Saccharomyces cerevisiae S288C: one gene and its partners. The protein of the gene in region 2 interacts with the protein of the main gene of each other region in a pairwise test. Each region holds a gene or a part of one and is shown on either strand. Other genes may lie near its edges.

The links. Proteins that work in one complex are often made in the same cells at the same time.
Region 1: the proteins of FLC2 (region 2) and EMP70 interact in a protein complementation assay, tested with the Saccharomyces cerevisiae proteins (one large-scale study listed by BioGRID).
Region 3: the proteins of FLC2 (region 2) and WSC3 interact in a protein complementation assay, tested with the Saccharomyces cerevisiae proteins (one large-scale study listed by BioGRID).

The regions. Positions count from the first base shown.
Region 1 is NC_001144.5:292,811-297,828, reverse strand, and holds EMP70 (Emp70p), read left to right. Parts: upstream 1-1,734; coding exon 1,735-3,738; downstream 3,739-5,018. Other genes in the region: RAX2 (Rax2p), read left to right, coding at 1-1,240; SRL2 (Srl2p), read left to right, coding at 4,257-5,018. UniProt on the Saccharomyces cerevisiae protein: With TMN2 and TMN3, plays a critical role in the late stages of a nutrient-controlled pathway notably regulating FLO11 gene expression. Acts downstream of RAS2 and TOR. Essential for cell adhesion and filamentous growth.
Region 2 is NC_001133.9:43,647-49,673, reverse strand, and holds FLC2 (flavin adenine dinucleotide transporter FLC2), read right to left. Parts: upstream 3,776-6,027; coding exon 1,424-3,775; downstream 1-1,423. Other genes in the region: oleate-activated transcription factor OAF1, read right to left, coding at 1-1,110; ACS1 (acetate--CoA ligase 1), read left to right, coding at 4,652-6,027. UniProt on the Saccharomyces cerevisiae protein: May be responsible for the transport of FAD into the endoplasmic reticulum lumen, where it is required for oxidative protein folding.
Region 3 is NC_001147.6:112,858-117,586, forward strand, and holds WSC3 (Wsc3p), read right to left. Parts: upstream 2,952-4,729; coding exon 1,281-2,951; downstream 1-1,280. Other genes in the region: YOL107W (uncharacterized protein), read left to right, coding at 1-273; NDJ1 (Ndj1p), read right to left, coding at 3,539-4,597.

The sequences.
Region 1 (5,018 bases), on a different chromosome or scaffold from region 2:
AGAAGGGGGTATTGTACCTTACCTGGGAGCTTATTTAAATGAGTCTGCCACGGCATATGCATATGAGGTGGATTCTCTAAACAAAATTTATTTTTCTAATGAAGTTTATCCTTCCTGGAATTGGTCTAGCGGTATTACTCAAATGCTATACGCTGATAATCAAACTTTACTAGCTGTCAGTGCAGGATCTTCAACCACAGCAGAACTGTCGATTTTTGATTTGAGAAATTTGACCATGATTGCTAATGAAACACTAGGATCAAATGCTAGAATAAATGCTTTAGTTAACTTTGAAAAAAACTGTAGTATGCTTGTCGGCGGAGATTTCCAAATGACTGAGCCGAATTGCACCGGATTATGTCTATACAATTATGAAAGCAAAACTTGGTCTACCTTCCTCAATAACACGATTTTTGGTGAAATCACACAACTTTCCTTCACCAACTCATCAGAATTAATTATCTCAGGCCTTTTTGAAACAAAAGAATACCAATCTATACGTTTAGGATCCTTTAACTTAACCAATTCTACTATGATTCCATTATTGAGTGGTTCTGAAGGGAAACTGAATTCGTTTACTGTCACTGAAGACTCCATAGTGGCATGGAATGATACTTCATTATTTATCTATAGAAACCAAGAATGGAATATTACCTCGTTACCTGGCAATGCTAGCTCTATTAGCTCTGTTTCAGCTATATACACAGATATTGAATCCAACACTTTGAACAAGAGAGGAATCAACAATGTTAATAATGGCAGTATCCTCTTACTTAATGGTAATTTTAATATTTCGCAATACGGATACCTACAAAGTTTGTTGTTTGATTTCCAAAAATGGACCCCATATTTTATTTCAGAAACAACAAATACTTCCAATTACAATCCAATAATTTTTATTAATAGAGACGTTTCAACTGAATTCAACTCTCAGTCACCACTTGCCAATGTGAACATTACTGTGACAAGTCCTCAGTCAACATCATCCCAGCCTCCATCTTCATCGGCAAGCAGTGAATCTAAATCAAAATCGAAGAAGAAGAAAATAGGTCGTGGTTTTGTCGTTTTAATTGGTCTTGCACTAGCATTAGGGACAGTTTCTGTCCTTGGTATTGCAGGCGTCATTCTTGCCTACGTGTTTAAGGATCCAGAGGGTGATTATAAGCCCATTAAACCGCGAATTGATGAGAATGAAATGCTTGATACCGTCCCACCCGAAAAACTTATGAAGTTTGTCTAATCGGGGTTGTATTATATAATATATAACTACTTAAAATAATGAACACTTAATATAATAAACAAAAATAAAATAGGAAAATCCTAAGTTGATCAAAACTTAATAAAAATTACTACTTGCACTGGAATGTTAGTAGTAAATTCAACACGTATTGGAAGTCACTTGGAATGTTACCAATACTGCCTGAGAATGAGTGATTTTAACTTATAATACAAAAGTCCGGGTTACAGCCCTTTAAATTTTTTTCACGGCAATTTTTCTTTACTTGGTGAAGCCATGAAAAATGTCATCGGTTCGAAGAAATAGGCCTAATGATAAACAAAAAGGTAATTCAAGGTTTTTGAACTGCTTTGTTGTTTTTATTTGTATCTTTTTTTGGTACGTTAGTTAAGTTAATTTTTGGCTCCTTGTCCAGCTTTTCCTTCATCTGCTACCGTTATATTTTCAGATATTAATTTAGTAGCAGAGAGCAAGTACCGAAAGGAAAACAAAACAGAATGATTTACAAAATGGCACACGTACAGCTTTTGTTGTTGTATTTTTTTGTGTCAACAGTCAAAGCCTTCTATTTACCAGGTGTAGCGCCTACCACTTACAGGGAAAATGACAACATCCCATTGCTCGTTAATCATTTAACTCCATCAATGAATTATCAACACAAAGATGAGGACGGTAATAACGTTTCTGGCGATAAAGAAAATTTCTTGTACTCATACGACTACTATTACAATAGATTCCATTTTTGTCAGCCTGAAAAAGTCGAAAAGCAACCTGAATCCTTGGGATCCGTTATATTTGGTGATCGAATTTATAATTCACCATTCCAATTGAATATGTTACAAGAAAAAGAGTGTGAATCCCTGTGTAAGACCGTAATTCCGGGAGATGATGCTAAATTCATCAATAAATTGATAAAAAATGGCTTCTTCCAAAACTGGCTTATTGATGGATTACCGGCTGCAAGAGAGGTTTATGATGGCAGAACTAAGACTAGTTTTTATGGTGCTGGCTTCAACCTTGGTTTTGTACAGGTAACTCAAGGAACCGACATTGAGGCTACTCCAAAAGGGGCAGAAACCACCGATAAGGATGTGGAATTGGAAACACGTAATGATCGTAACATGGTGAAAACTTACGAATTGCCTTACTTTGCCAACCATTTCGATATTATGATTGAATATCACGATCGTGGTGAAGGTAACTATCGTGTAGTTGGTGTTATCGTCGAACCGGTTTCCATAAAACGTTCCAGTCCAGGTACATGTGAAACGACTGGCAGCCCATTGATGCTAGACGAAGGAAATGATAATGAAGTTTATTTTACTTATTCCGTTAAATTCAATGAATCAGCGACTTCTTGGGCCACCAGGTGGGACAAATATTTACACGTATATGATCCTTCTATTCAATGGTTTTCTTTGATAAATTTCTCCTTAGTTGTTGTCTTATTGTCATCTGTTGTTATCCATTCGCTATTGCGCGCACTGAAAAGTGATTTCGCACGTTACAACGAGTTAAATTTGGACGATGATTTTCAAGAAGATTCGGGTTGGAAATTGAATCATGGTGATGTTTTTCGTTCGCCAAGTCAATCGCTAACCCTTTCAATTTTGGTTGGTTCAGGAGTTCAATTATTTTTGATGGTAACTTGCAGTATCTTCTTCGCTGCATTGGGTTTCCTATCACCTAGTTCTAGAGGTTCCTTAGCCACTGTTATGTTTATCTTATATGCATTATTCGGGTTTGTCGGCTCTTATACATCTATGGGCATCTACAAATTTTTCAATGGGCCATACTGGAAGGCAAACTTGATATTGACTCCACTTCTAGTTCCTGGTGCTATTCTGCTAATAATTATTGCGTTGAACTTTTTCTTAATGTTTGTTCATTCTTCTGGTGTCATACCAGCAAGTACTCTGTTTTTTATGGTTTTTCTATGGTTTTTGTTCTCAATCCCATTATCATTTGCTGGTTCATTGATTGCCAGGAAAAGATGTCACTGGGATGAACATCCAACCAAGACAAACCAAATCGCAAGACAAATACCCTTCCAGCCTTGGTATTTAAAGACTATACCAGCTACTTTGATTGCTGGTATCTTTCCATTTGGCTCCATCGCCGTTGAGTTGTATTTCATATACACAAGTTTATGGTTTAATAAGATTTTTTACATGTTTGGTTTCCTCTTTTTCTCTTTCCTCCTATTAACTTTGACAAGTTCACTCGTCACTATTTTGATCACTTATCATTCCTTATGCCTGGAGAACTGGAAGTGGCAATGGAGAGGATTCATAATTGGAGGCGCCGGTTGTGCTTTGTATGTGTTTATTCATTCTATTTTATTCACCAAATTTAAGTTGGGTGGATTCACGACTATTGTCTTATACGTGGGATACTCCTCAGTCATTTCATTACTCTGCTGTTTGGTAACGGGGTCAATTGGCTTTATCAGCAGTATGCTCTTTGTTAGAAAAATCTACTCATCCATTAAAGTTGACTAGGCCAACGAAAAAGAGGTCCTATATGTTGGGTTAGGGCGTTTTTTATTTATTTCTCTACTGTTTATCTTTTTTAACAAAGAAAATGCTAGGCCCTATGGCCTTTGGACATGATACATAGTTTTTAGTAATATTTTTTTCAAAAAGATTAAAAGTACTATAGGATTCGAAGTTGTAATTTTTGGTGTATATACATTTATTTATTTGAATCTTTTTTCCATGATTCTGGAATGACATTCTGCGTTACAGTTTGGGAATAAATGCTCCTTTAAGGAAATAATATACAGCTTTAGTGTACAGGGTTAATCTATAGCCACATTAAAAGGACTTGATTATGACTTAAAATAAGTGACACTGACGCTTTAATATTCAGTCCGGGTGATGCTGTCATCTAGGACAAAACAATGGGAGTGGATAAGTAAGCAAGTAATAAGATAAAACAGTATTAGAAATTGGTAGTAGGCTGAAGCTTGTTGAAGCTGGTGGACAGAAAAACGCTTATATTGTGAAGATCCTTTTGGATGTCCAACTTTAAGAATTTTACTTTAAATTCCTTTGAAGATTATTACGGAAAGCCCTCTGAAACGCCAAAAATGGAGGAAGAGAAATTGGAAGTAACAAATGTGAATGCGTCCTCTTCAAAAAAAGTACATAAAAGCAAAAAGAGCACTTCAAAATATGACCAAAAGAATGTATTTAGAAACTCAATGACAGGAATTGCACAAATACTGCCAACAAAACCTGTGAAAATTATAGAGCAGAATATTGATTTTGCCAATCCGAAGAGCTTCGACCTCCTGCAATCTACACATACTATTTGCTTTAATAAAAGAATTAACACTACTAATACCAAGTTGAATGTGGAAACTCATACTTCTAGTGATATTGACAACGACATATTGCACGTTGGAGCCCCCACAGACTTGGGGGGAAACAGTAATGACGAAGCGGAAACAAGGCAACTAAGGAAGTTTCGATGGTCCAATAATAAAGAAAAAAGTCTTTGTGAAAAGTTAACAGTCATATATTGGGCCCTCTTGCTCCACACAACAAAGAGAGCAAGTAAAAGGAGACCTATATTATGTCATCAAATGATAGCTGAGTTTTTTAACAGAGTTTATAAGGAGAAATCAAGAGTACCTATAACTTCAAGATATATTAGAGATAACCTCGTCGCTTGGGTCACTCAAGGAAAGGAATTGCATGAAAAAGGTTGGGTAGGGGATGCCAAAACTGGCGATTTGCAAGAACAGTTCAATATAGCCACTGTCAAATTATATGAA
Region 2 (6,027 bases):
TAATGATTCTTCAAAAATTTCTAATTCGATGAAAGGTAGACTTGGATAAACGTACTCATAAAAGTGGTTCTTGTAGCGTTCAATAATTTCGTAAGATGGCAAAATAGCTTCACATTCATTGATCAAATTTCTCAATAAATCCGAATATTCGCCACCTTGAGGGCAATGATCCTCCAGATATTGGTAACCGACAGAATTGTAAAGCATTGATAATAGCATACCGATTTTCAAGTTTCTATTTGAATTTGTATTTTGTAGTATTCTATCAGTGAATTCGTTTACACGATTTTTTTCATCTTCGGTTTGACACTGTCTGATTAGCATTTCCTTCAATTTCAAAAGGTTATTTGCTACGCTAGGCTGGGCTCTTGTAATATTCGCGTTTGCCGTCAATGCCGGTATCATCGTGTTCTTTGAAGTGTCAAGGAACACTGAAGTGACCAGGATTTTTAGAAAACAGTCCTGAATTATAATATAATTTTCAGATAACGGCTTAACTTCTCTTTTCATGACTTTACTCATGATCATGGTTGGATGACTTCTATACAAGTTGATTTCAATATCATTTCTGGTACCATTGTTTATATCCCCGTTACCACTTTGTTCATATATAGGTTCCATTTTATGCTGCTTCTTGGTATCAGGACTGTCCCCGCTAGCATTGTTTGTATTGATCGGACTTGCTGATCTCTTGCCTGATTCATTCACCTCTCTCTCTGTTAGTAGCTTCATAGCTTTATCTTTCCAATAAAACATATCTTTTTCCAACCTTGATATAATGGCGTCTTTACTCGGAATTCGTGGTGCTGGCTGTTTTGATACGTCATAAACACATTTTAACCCATGCTTGACGCATCGACCACATTCAGGTTTTTCTCTATCACACTTTGTTTTTGACTTCCTACAAGCCTGGCAGACAAACAATATTCTATTTCTTTTCCTATTATGTGTTTCGGAGTTCTCGGGGGCAGGCGATGTGCTTGAGTGCTCAGCTTCTAATCCAGGCGTTGGGTTATTGAACCCTAAGAAAAACGCCTCCGAATATGGCTTGGTAGAGCTATTATCATCATTTCCGGCATGTGGGGCCTTCTGCGTACTATTTTCGACCATGACTTACGCAACCTAATCTATTATTAACCTGCTTCTAACACAAAATAGCCAACAGTAAATCCCTTCTGGAGGATCTGTTTCCTTCTCTACACGTCAAAAAAGATGTCAGAAAAAAGCGGCAATTGCGTACATTTAAGGAAGCAGAGCCAAAGCGAATTTCACATTTAAGGTTTTTATCGCTGAAATATGTGTGGTGTTGGGATGTAATGGAGATAATACACCTTTTTGAGCGGTTTTCTATGAAATATAATGTAGGATATCCTTGCCCTTAAATATTTATATAATAAGTTGTTACATGTGAGTATATATTGGATTACAAATATGGGTTGTTGTTGCGGGCGTTTTCGTTGCTGCCGTTGTTGTTAAAATGCGAATATGATTTATTGGAATTCCCCAGGTAGAGACTTGATTCAGGCTTCATTAAACTGGAGGTGCTTGTATTATTCGGCGCTAGATTAGTACGAGAAGCAGATGACGCACGTTGGTACTGTGGAGACAAGAAGCTGCCACCCGTACCCATGACAGCGGAGGTTGGTTGCACAGGTTGCTCCGTTACTTCCGAGGCATCGAAGGGAGAGGAATTTTGCTTAAAAGAGGATGAACTAGTCTCATCATCAAAGAGTCTTGCTGTATTTGTGTTTGCATTCAGGTTCTTGCCGAAAGTGTCGTCACGGAACATTTTTTCTTCCTCATTTTCATTGGTGTCCATAACAGCTTTTCTCAATTCAAACAGTTCAGAATCATTTTTGTTTTTGCCATCGAAATCATTTTGAATCTTAGGAATGAATGACACACGGTCATCTTTCATTGGTTGGTAACGGACATCTGGGTTTCTGTGTAGTAATGCCAGTGTACAGGTGACAATAGTGAACAATAATAGGAATAGAGCAAACACCGCGTTCAAAACGAACAGAATAACCGCCATCACTGACGAAACCACTGCTGGTTGCTTGAACAAATTACTGAAAAACAAAAAGAAAAATGCATTGATCAAATTCACCAAATGAATAGCAATATTGAAAACATTAGTTCTCTTGTCCAAATATGGTCTTATCCAACAGAGACAAACGAAGTAAGCTAGTTCAATGACAAAGATGATCATTGCTTGAGCCTTACCTTGGTTTTGTAAAACGGCAACAAACAGGGATCTTAAGAACGCATAACTTAATAAGGGTAAAAGCCACCAAAACTTATCTGCTTTGAATTGAACGTATAAGAACCCAAACTTGTTCAAGAAGTAGGTATCACTGTAAAGTAGGTACGCAGGATTCTTGTATAATCTGAGAGACTCTCTTCCCTTGATGAAAACCCTTATAGTTCCATAAACCAGAAGTCCCGTGATGATCAGTAATATTACTACCGCATCAACAACAATCGCTGGAGAGTTGACCTGAGTAAATTCCCAAATCGCCAGAAGAGAAACTTGAGGGAAGGCGATGATAGATAATCTGAAAAGGGTGCCTTTGATAATACTCCCCCAGTTCTTCCTATATTGGAAGAAATTGGAAGTCTCTTTCAATATTCTTGCTCTTGTAAGAACTTCCAATAGCGCCTTAAAGAAAATCAAAGAGACGACAACTACAAATAGGAAGAATAGAAAAAACACAATACCGGTCAAAAAGAAATTAGATAGCTCAATATTAGCCAAATAAGCAACTCTTTCTATACCTCTTAACACGAGAATCTTGGCTGAGTAATTGCTTGGATCCTTCTCAGAAGTGGTGTACAGATTCGAATCGTCTAAAATGGTGTCAAAATTGTAATCACTAGACGATGCCATAGAGATAGCACGTTTTTGCACACTAATGGACAAGACGTCCTTGTTAGCTACCACAACATTTGAGACACCATTAGTGGCCTGTACGTACCAATCAAAAATCTTTTGCATGAAGTTTGTATTGATGATACCCATGGACCATTGGAAATTCTGCGTCCACGCGGCAGCAATGGGTGGAACCCTTGAGACACCCATCATTGCAGTGATAGCTAGATTTTGGAAGTATATGAACAATGAGATGGAGTTGGACGCAATGTGAGCAGCAGTGGCTGAGTAACCGATCACAGACACAAACCCTGAGGTAAGTACACCGACACCTGAGATAGCGGCAATGGGCCAGGCCGCATACTTTGTTTGCACTGTCTTCCCGTTACTCAAGATAGCCTGGACACAAGCCAGCGGAGTTTCGAATTCCGTGTCATTCTGAGCGTATGCCACCACACGTACTTGTGCGTCCAAATCTGGAATGGTGTAAGCAATGCCGGGAAATTGCTTGGTAATGGATGATTCGATCACCTGTGTGGACATGACATCAATACGCCCAGCACTTAGGGGGCAAAGCGATACTTGGCCCAAGGAACATAAATCAAAAGTCTTATCCAGGACTTTCAGTCCGTAAGTAAGCAGCTCAGCCTTCACAGTGACGTTCCCATTAAGCGTCGTCGTAGCGTCAATATCAAAGATAACAGTATTATTATCGGGGTAAAATTTCACATCAAAGAATGATGCCGTTAATTGCGAATTGTCCATACACGTCAATAAAGAAGTGGTCTGCAAATGCTTTGCAGACGCCGGAGTAGTGTCGTTTGTGTCAGAGGAACGTGCTGTACCGCTGCACAGTACGAAACACGTTAAAAGGCACCTTGCGAAGGTGTTTAGGAAGATCATGGCTATATAATCTTTTTATCACGTCAATATAATCGTAATGAAACAGAAATGAATGTATTATAATACACTGAAACACGGTATAGCGCAGCAAATTGTTTTAGTTTAAGGGGTATAAATGTTTTCCAAGGGTGGTGTTCTATATATATATGCCATTCATATACTTTTAATAATGTTCTATACGTATTCCCGTGAAGGCATTAATGATTATCTTTTTCTTTAAAAATGCAAGATGGCTGAGTAGTCGCGCGAAAAAAAAAAAAAAAAGAAACAGCAAGGTTAATTTTAGAATACCAACAGGAAAAAAGAAAAGATTATCCTCCCAGAAAAACAATCTGTTTATTACCCGACATTCTTAAAAAAACAAAAGCAAATCACATGTGCACATACGTCCAGAATGATATCAAGATAAATGGCACGTGTATGTACGGCTGTGTAAATATGATAATCATCTCGGACGAACGGCGTAGCACTCTCCATCCCCTAAAAATGTTCACGTGTGACTGCTCCATTTCGCCGGATGTCGAGATGACCCCCCCCCCTCAAAAGGCACTCACCTGTTGACATGCCGTGGCAAATGATTGGGGTCATCCTTTTTTTCTGTTATCTCTAAGATCCAAAGAAAAGTAAAAAAAAAAGGTTGGGGTACGAATTGCCGCCGAGCCTCCGATGCCATTATTCAATGGGTATTGCAGTTGGGGTACAGTTCCTCGGTGGCAAATAGTTCTCCCTTCATTTTGTATATAAACTGGGCGGCTATTCTAAGCATATTTCTCCCTTAGGTTATCTGGTAGTACGTTATATCTTGTTCTTATATTTTCTATCTATAAGCAAAACCAAACATATCAAAACTACTAGAAAGACATTGCCCACTGTGCTATGTCGCCCTCTGCCGTACAATCATCAAAACTAGAAGAACAGTCAAGTGAAATTGACAAGTTGAAAGCAAAAATGTCCCAGTCTGCCGCCACTGCGCAGCAGAAGAAGGAACATGAGTATGAACATTTGACTTCGGTCAAGATCGTGCCACAACGGCCCATCTCAGATAGACTGCAGCCCGCAATTGCTACCCACTATTCTCCACACTTGGACGGGTTGCAGGACTATCAGCGCTTGCACAAGGAGTCTATTGAAGACCCTGCTAAGTTCTTCGGTTCTAAAGCTACCCAATTTTTAAACTGGTCTAAGCCATTCGATAAGGTGTTCATCCCAGACCCTAAAACGGGCAGGCCCTCCTTCCAGAACAATGCATGGTTCCTCAACGGCCAATTAAACGCCTGTTACAACTGTGTTGACAGACATGCCTTGAAGACTCCTAACAAGAAAGCCATTATTTTCGAAGGTGACGAGCCTGGCCAAGGCTATTCCATTACCTACAAGGAACTACTTGAAGAAGTTTGTCAAGTGGCACAAGTGCTGACTTACTCTATGGGCGTTCGCAAGGGCGATACTGTTGCCGTGTACATGCCTATGGTCCCAGAAGCAATCATAACCTTGTTGGCCATTTCCCGTATCGGTGCCATTCACTCCGTAGTCTTTGCCGGGTTTTCTTCCAACTCCTTGAGAGATCGTATCAACGATGGGGACTCTAAAGTTGTCATCACTACAGATGAATCCAACAGAGGTGGTAAAGTCATTGAGACTAAAAGAATTGTTGATGACGCGCTAAGAGAGACCCCAGGCGTGAGACACGTCTTGGTTTATAGAAAGACCAACAATCCATCTGTTGCTTTCCATGCCCCCAGAGATTTGGATTGGGCAACAGAAAAGAAGAAATACAAGACCTACTATCCATGCACACCCGTTGATTCTGAGGATCCATTATTCTTGTTGTATACGTCTGGTTCTACTGGTGCCCCCAAGGGTGTTCAACATTCTACCGCAGGTTACTTGCTGGGAGCTTTGTTGACCATGCGCTACACTTTTGACACTCACCAAGAAGACGTTTTCTTCACAGCTGGAGACATTGGCTGGATTACAGGCCACACTTATGTGGTTTATGGTCCCTTACTATATGGTTGTGCCACTTTGGTCTTTGAAGGGACTCCTGCGTACCCAAATTACTCCCGTTATTGGGATATTATTGATGAACACAAAGTCACCCAATTTTATGTTGCGCCAACTGCTTTGCGTTTGTTGAAAAGAGCTGGTGATTCCTACATCGAAAATCATTCCTTAAAATCTTTGCGTTGCTTGGGTTCGGTCGGTGAGCCAATTGCTGCTGAAGTTTGGGAGTGGTACTCTGAAAAAATAGG
Region 3 (4,729 bases), on a different chromosome or scaffold from region 2:
GGTCAGGAAATATTGGTCGGCGATGCATCTGATACTTTTCAATTGATTTACTTCTTTCCTGATCTAATTAAGCCGATTTTGAGGCCGATTTTCAATTTCATTTATAATGTAGTTGTTGTAAAATTTAAAGTCATTAAACCTTTTCATGATATTGATATAGATATTGGGAACACCATCGCAGAAAGTAGAGGCGCCAAAAAAATTATGACTGTAGAAGAAAGACGAAGACAGTTAGCTTTACAAGTTTTGGAAGAGCGTATGGTAAACCCTTGATATATGGATCTATATAACTTGAAATATGCTCTATTATATCGTGATTTAATGACGGCTGTTGGCATTTCGGTCTTTACCAAGGTAGTAGGATTTGTATGCTGAATGTGCGCCAGTACTATCGAACCATAGAAACCCATATATTCCCCAATATTAATAATTCTACTGAGAAATGGGTGAATTTTGAAATAATTGTTGGGATTCCATCGTTGATAAAGGCTATAATATTAGGTATACAGAATGTACTAGAAGTTCTCCTCGATGATATAGGAATCCCCATAATGGAATCTATATTTCTATGTACCAATATTACGATTATTCCTCATTCCATTTCATATGTTTCATTATCCTATTACATTATCGATCCTTGCATTTCAGCTTCCTCTAACTTCGGTGACAGCTTCTATAATAACTTATGTCACTATCTAACACCGTATATGATAATATATTGATAGTATGACTACTAGTTGATAGACGATAGTTGGTTTTTATTCCAACATCTACATAGTGGCACTCACTACGCTGCTAAATTTGATCATTTGGTGAATAATTTGATAATTAGTAGTTCTTCTCCGGGATATAGGAATCAACAAAAGGAAAACGATAGTTTTACATAATAATATTAATTTATCTTGCTTGGTTCGCCTTTGAAGAGCGCAGCTTTCAGAGATTTAGCTTCTATGGCCAAGTTGGTAAGGCGCCACACTAGTAATGTGGAGATCATCGGTTCAAATCCGATTGGAAGCATTTTTTTTTAATATTTTAAAATTGTTTATATTTTTGTACCACAAACATCATTAGAAGCTGCAAATGAAGTGAATCAGAAAATTTAAAAATGAAACTAAATACTAAATATTATTGTTCTTTTTCTAACAGTTGAAGTGCCAAAAGCAGTAAATTGTTTAAATATTAGGGTATAAAACATGATATTATAAAGTTAATGATTTAGAATGGCTCCGTCCAGCAGAACCAGTTGATTACCATTAATGTTGAGAGTTTATGCGAGTTTTTCAGGCTCGATTATGAGATACGGTACTAGATAATTCAGGATTATCAGGATTATCAGGGTTTACCACTTGCAATGGTCCGCTCATCATCATGTCGGGTAAAGAATTGGCACTGAACCTTTCATTTGCACTATTCAAAGTATTTGCCTCTTCAAAAACTGTCGATGGAAGGTTCTGTTTCTGAACCGTAGCATCTTGTAAGCCAGCCAAGTTGTTTATGATGCTTCCACTGGTGTTTGAACTAGGACTACTATAATTTGCACCATTACTCATAGAAAAACCATACATATTACTTGTACCGATAGAACCCGCTGTATTACCCCTTGAATGTCTCATCCAATTTGTCGTACCAGAGGAGGGAGGCGGTCCTATTGGATTTGCATCCTCATCACCGAACGAATAGGGCTGATAATGTTTCGTTTCCTCCAAGTCTAATTGGTCGTGCGATTTCCGTCTCCTCCATATCAGGAACAATAGAATCAAAATAATAAAAATTACGCCAAACACAACACCAATAACAATACCGGCAATGGCTCCACCACTCAGACGCTGCTTCGAAGTCGAATTAGATCTATTATTTGAGGCGGCAGCAGTAGCAGTAGCTACCTCAGAAGATCGTTCAACCACGGATGTCCTCGTAACAAATATTGTTTCCTGATGTTGATCAGAAGTACTCACGATCGCTTTTGTAACCACACTAGTCACTAGTTCCACTGAGGTAACTATTGGTATCGTTGATGACGTACTAGGGGTCATTGAGGTCACTTTTGGAGTTGATAGTGTGCTGCTACTCGAGGACACTGGCACCAAGGTGGAAGAGGGTGAAGAAGTACGGCTATCGACTGTGGTATGCTCAGATGAGGACAATGTAATGGATGAGGAGCTAGACGTAACAGAAAAGATAGAGGTAGTAGAGGAGGTAGTAGAGGAGGTAGTAGAAGAGGTAGTAGAAGAGGTGGTAGAAGAGGTGGTAGAAGAGGTGGTAGAAGAGGTGGTAGAAGAGGTAGTAGAGGAAGTCGAGGAAGAGGTAGTAGAAGAGGTGGTAGAAGAGGTGGTAGAAGAGGTGGTAGAAGAGGTAGTAGAGGAAGTCGAGGAAGAGGTTGTTGAAGTGGTAGAAACTGTCGTGGCTATCATTTCAGAACTTTTCATATCTGTTGACGTTCTCCTAGTAGTTGAAGAAATTTGGGCGGAGGACAATGAAGAAGTTGTTGAGGGCATATAGGAAGTGCTAGACCCTTCTTTGGAAGAGGAAGATTCAACCGATGAAACAAAAGTTTCAGCATTTACATACACGTTCATGTACGATGACCCTCCACACATTTGGTAAGGCCAGCCAGAGCATTTAGTTCCACAGTTTGAATCTGTTGATTTCGTCAAAGAAGTCAGAAAACTTACCGAATTACCGCAGTAACAATCTGACCCGTTAAATAATGCTACTACTGCTGACTCAGGGCACTGGTTTTGACAGTATGACACTGATTGATATATGTATGAGTTTTTCAGAGACAGTCCAGCAGACTGGATATCCGCGGCACTGTAACAGCCTTCATAATTAAAATCAGCATTAACCAGCCCAATCAGAGATTGACATAGCAAACTTAGAAGTATAAATGAGATATACCCGATTTTAATAGTTCCTTTATTTGTTAATTTTGCAAACCATACTCTTTCCATTTTATATTGTCTTCTGCTAAAAAAACAAACTATACGGACATGAATTTCATATAATGCACAAAGAAAATAGCTCACCAAATATTTCTCGAGGATTATCACTAATTTCGAGGAACAATAGAAAATTAGTATGGCGAGGGATCAAAAAATTTTTTATAGCAAATGTTTGGAAAGAAAAAAATGTATAACGAATGCAATTGTTTTATTGAAGTGTAAGAAAAATCAATATCTAACCTAGATACTATTTCAGGCAATGAAGTAAAACAATGGTCCTGGTCTGCAGTATACCACTTACGTTAAAAAGCTTTTTAAGATTAGTGCGGAGGCATAATTACTTTTTTTATAATAAAGAAAAAAATTCTCGAGTGGCTAAAATAAGAAGTTTGCCCGGATCTCAAAGGAGAGCGGGATGACGTAAAAATTCCTGATTTTGGAAAAATGCATTCCTACTAACGAATCGGCTGGTAAAATTAGGTTAAAAATCTCCTAGTGAAAGGGCAAACAGAAAAAAATCTTCACATTAAGCAAGATTTAAAGTAAACAGCAAAGAAAAGTTTTTTTTGGTTCAGATGTAATATGGATAGCCCGTTTTAACAATTCAGAATCTCATCTGTAAAGCATTGTAATATCGCTGAAAAAGTGAAAAACATTAGTTTCTTGACTGCTTCATCATTTGAATGGTCTTCCAATACCAAGAGATGTGCTGGCCTGACAAAGGATTTCACCCTCTCACTTGTAATTTCATCTGCCATCTGCACAATACCATTTGTAAAAATTAAAATACCGTTTTGACAATCTAGCCATAAACCAAAATTCAGTTTATATTTTCTGGGTTTTCTGAAAACGTCCAAGAGACTCAAAGCATTTTTATTAAGTAAAATTGTTGTGAATTCATCAATCGAACAACTGTATGAAGGTTGGAATGTAAAGTACCTTTGTGTTAATTTTATTACGAGTTCCCTGAGAACATTCGGAATGTTCTGATGGACCGTGGCATTTGGCTGAGTTAATTCAGACCATTGTTGCCATTTCACCAACAGGTCATGTAAAATAAGCTCATTAAACGACTCAATGAGTTTTGACCAGTTAGCGTAAACTTTGGTGAAATCTTTTTCTGGGCCAAATTTTGTTAAAACGGTTTCAAAGCGATTAACATATTCCTGAATTAGCTTGTAGGTTTTGGAGTTGGATTTGTCAAAGGAACAAATTCTAGGTATAATACACATCTTTAGTAATTGACTTCTATGGCGGGATACTCCAGAATTGACGACATTAACCAAGGTGGTATCACTATCGTTCCGATCTTCCCCTTCCTTTTGCCTGCTGAGTTGGAAATAGTGTGAAAAATCCTTCTGAACCAAAGAACTCAATTGACAATCTTTAAATATTTGCAGTGGGTAGTAACGTTTTGTAGAATCCTGCAAATTCGTAACGAGATCGACTTGATTCAAACAATATAACACAAACACGTAGTTCTTATGACCTCTAAACATCGGCGGGCAAACATTCGACGCAACTCCTTCTAGTGGCAAGAAATTAAGTTCCTCTTGCAGAGTATGCAACTTTGAGTCATGGAATTCAGTACAATTTCCAGAGGATGATGCTACAGGCTGCAGCAAAATACTTGCTAACCTATTATCCTTACTCATTATAGTTTTTCTACCTGTATTTTTATCCTAAGTTGTATATGGTATAGTTCATGACAATATTTTTGATATATCTGTCAAAATAGCCGCCCAACTTCTACGCCCGGTACGTCACTGAGTACGAAACGGATATAT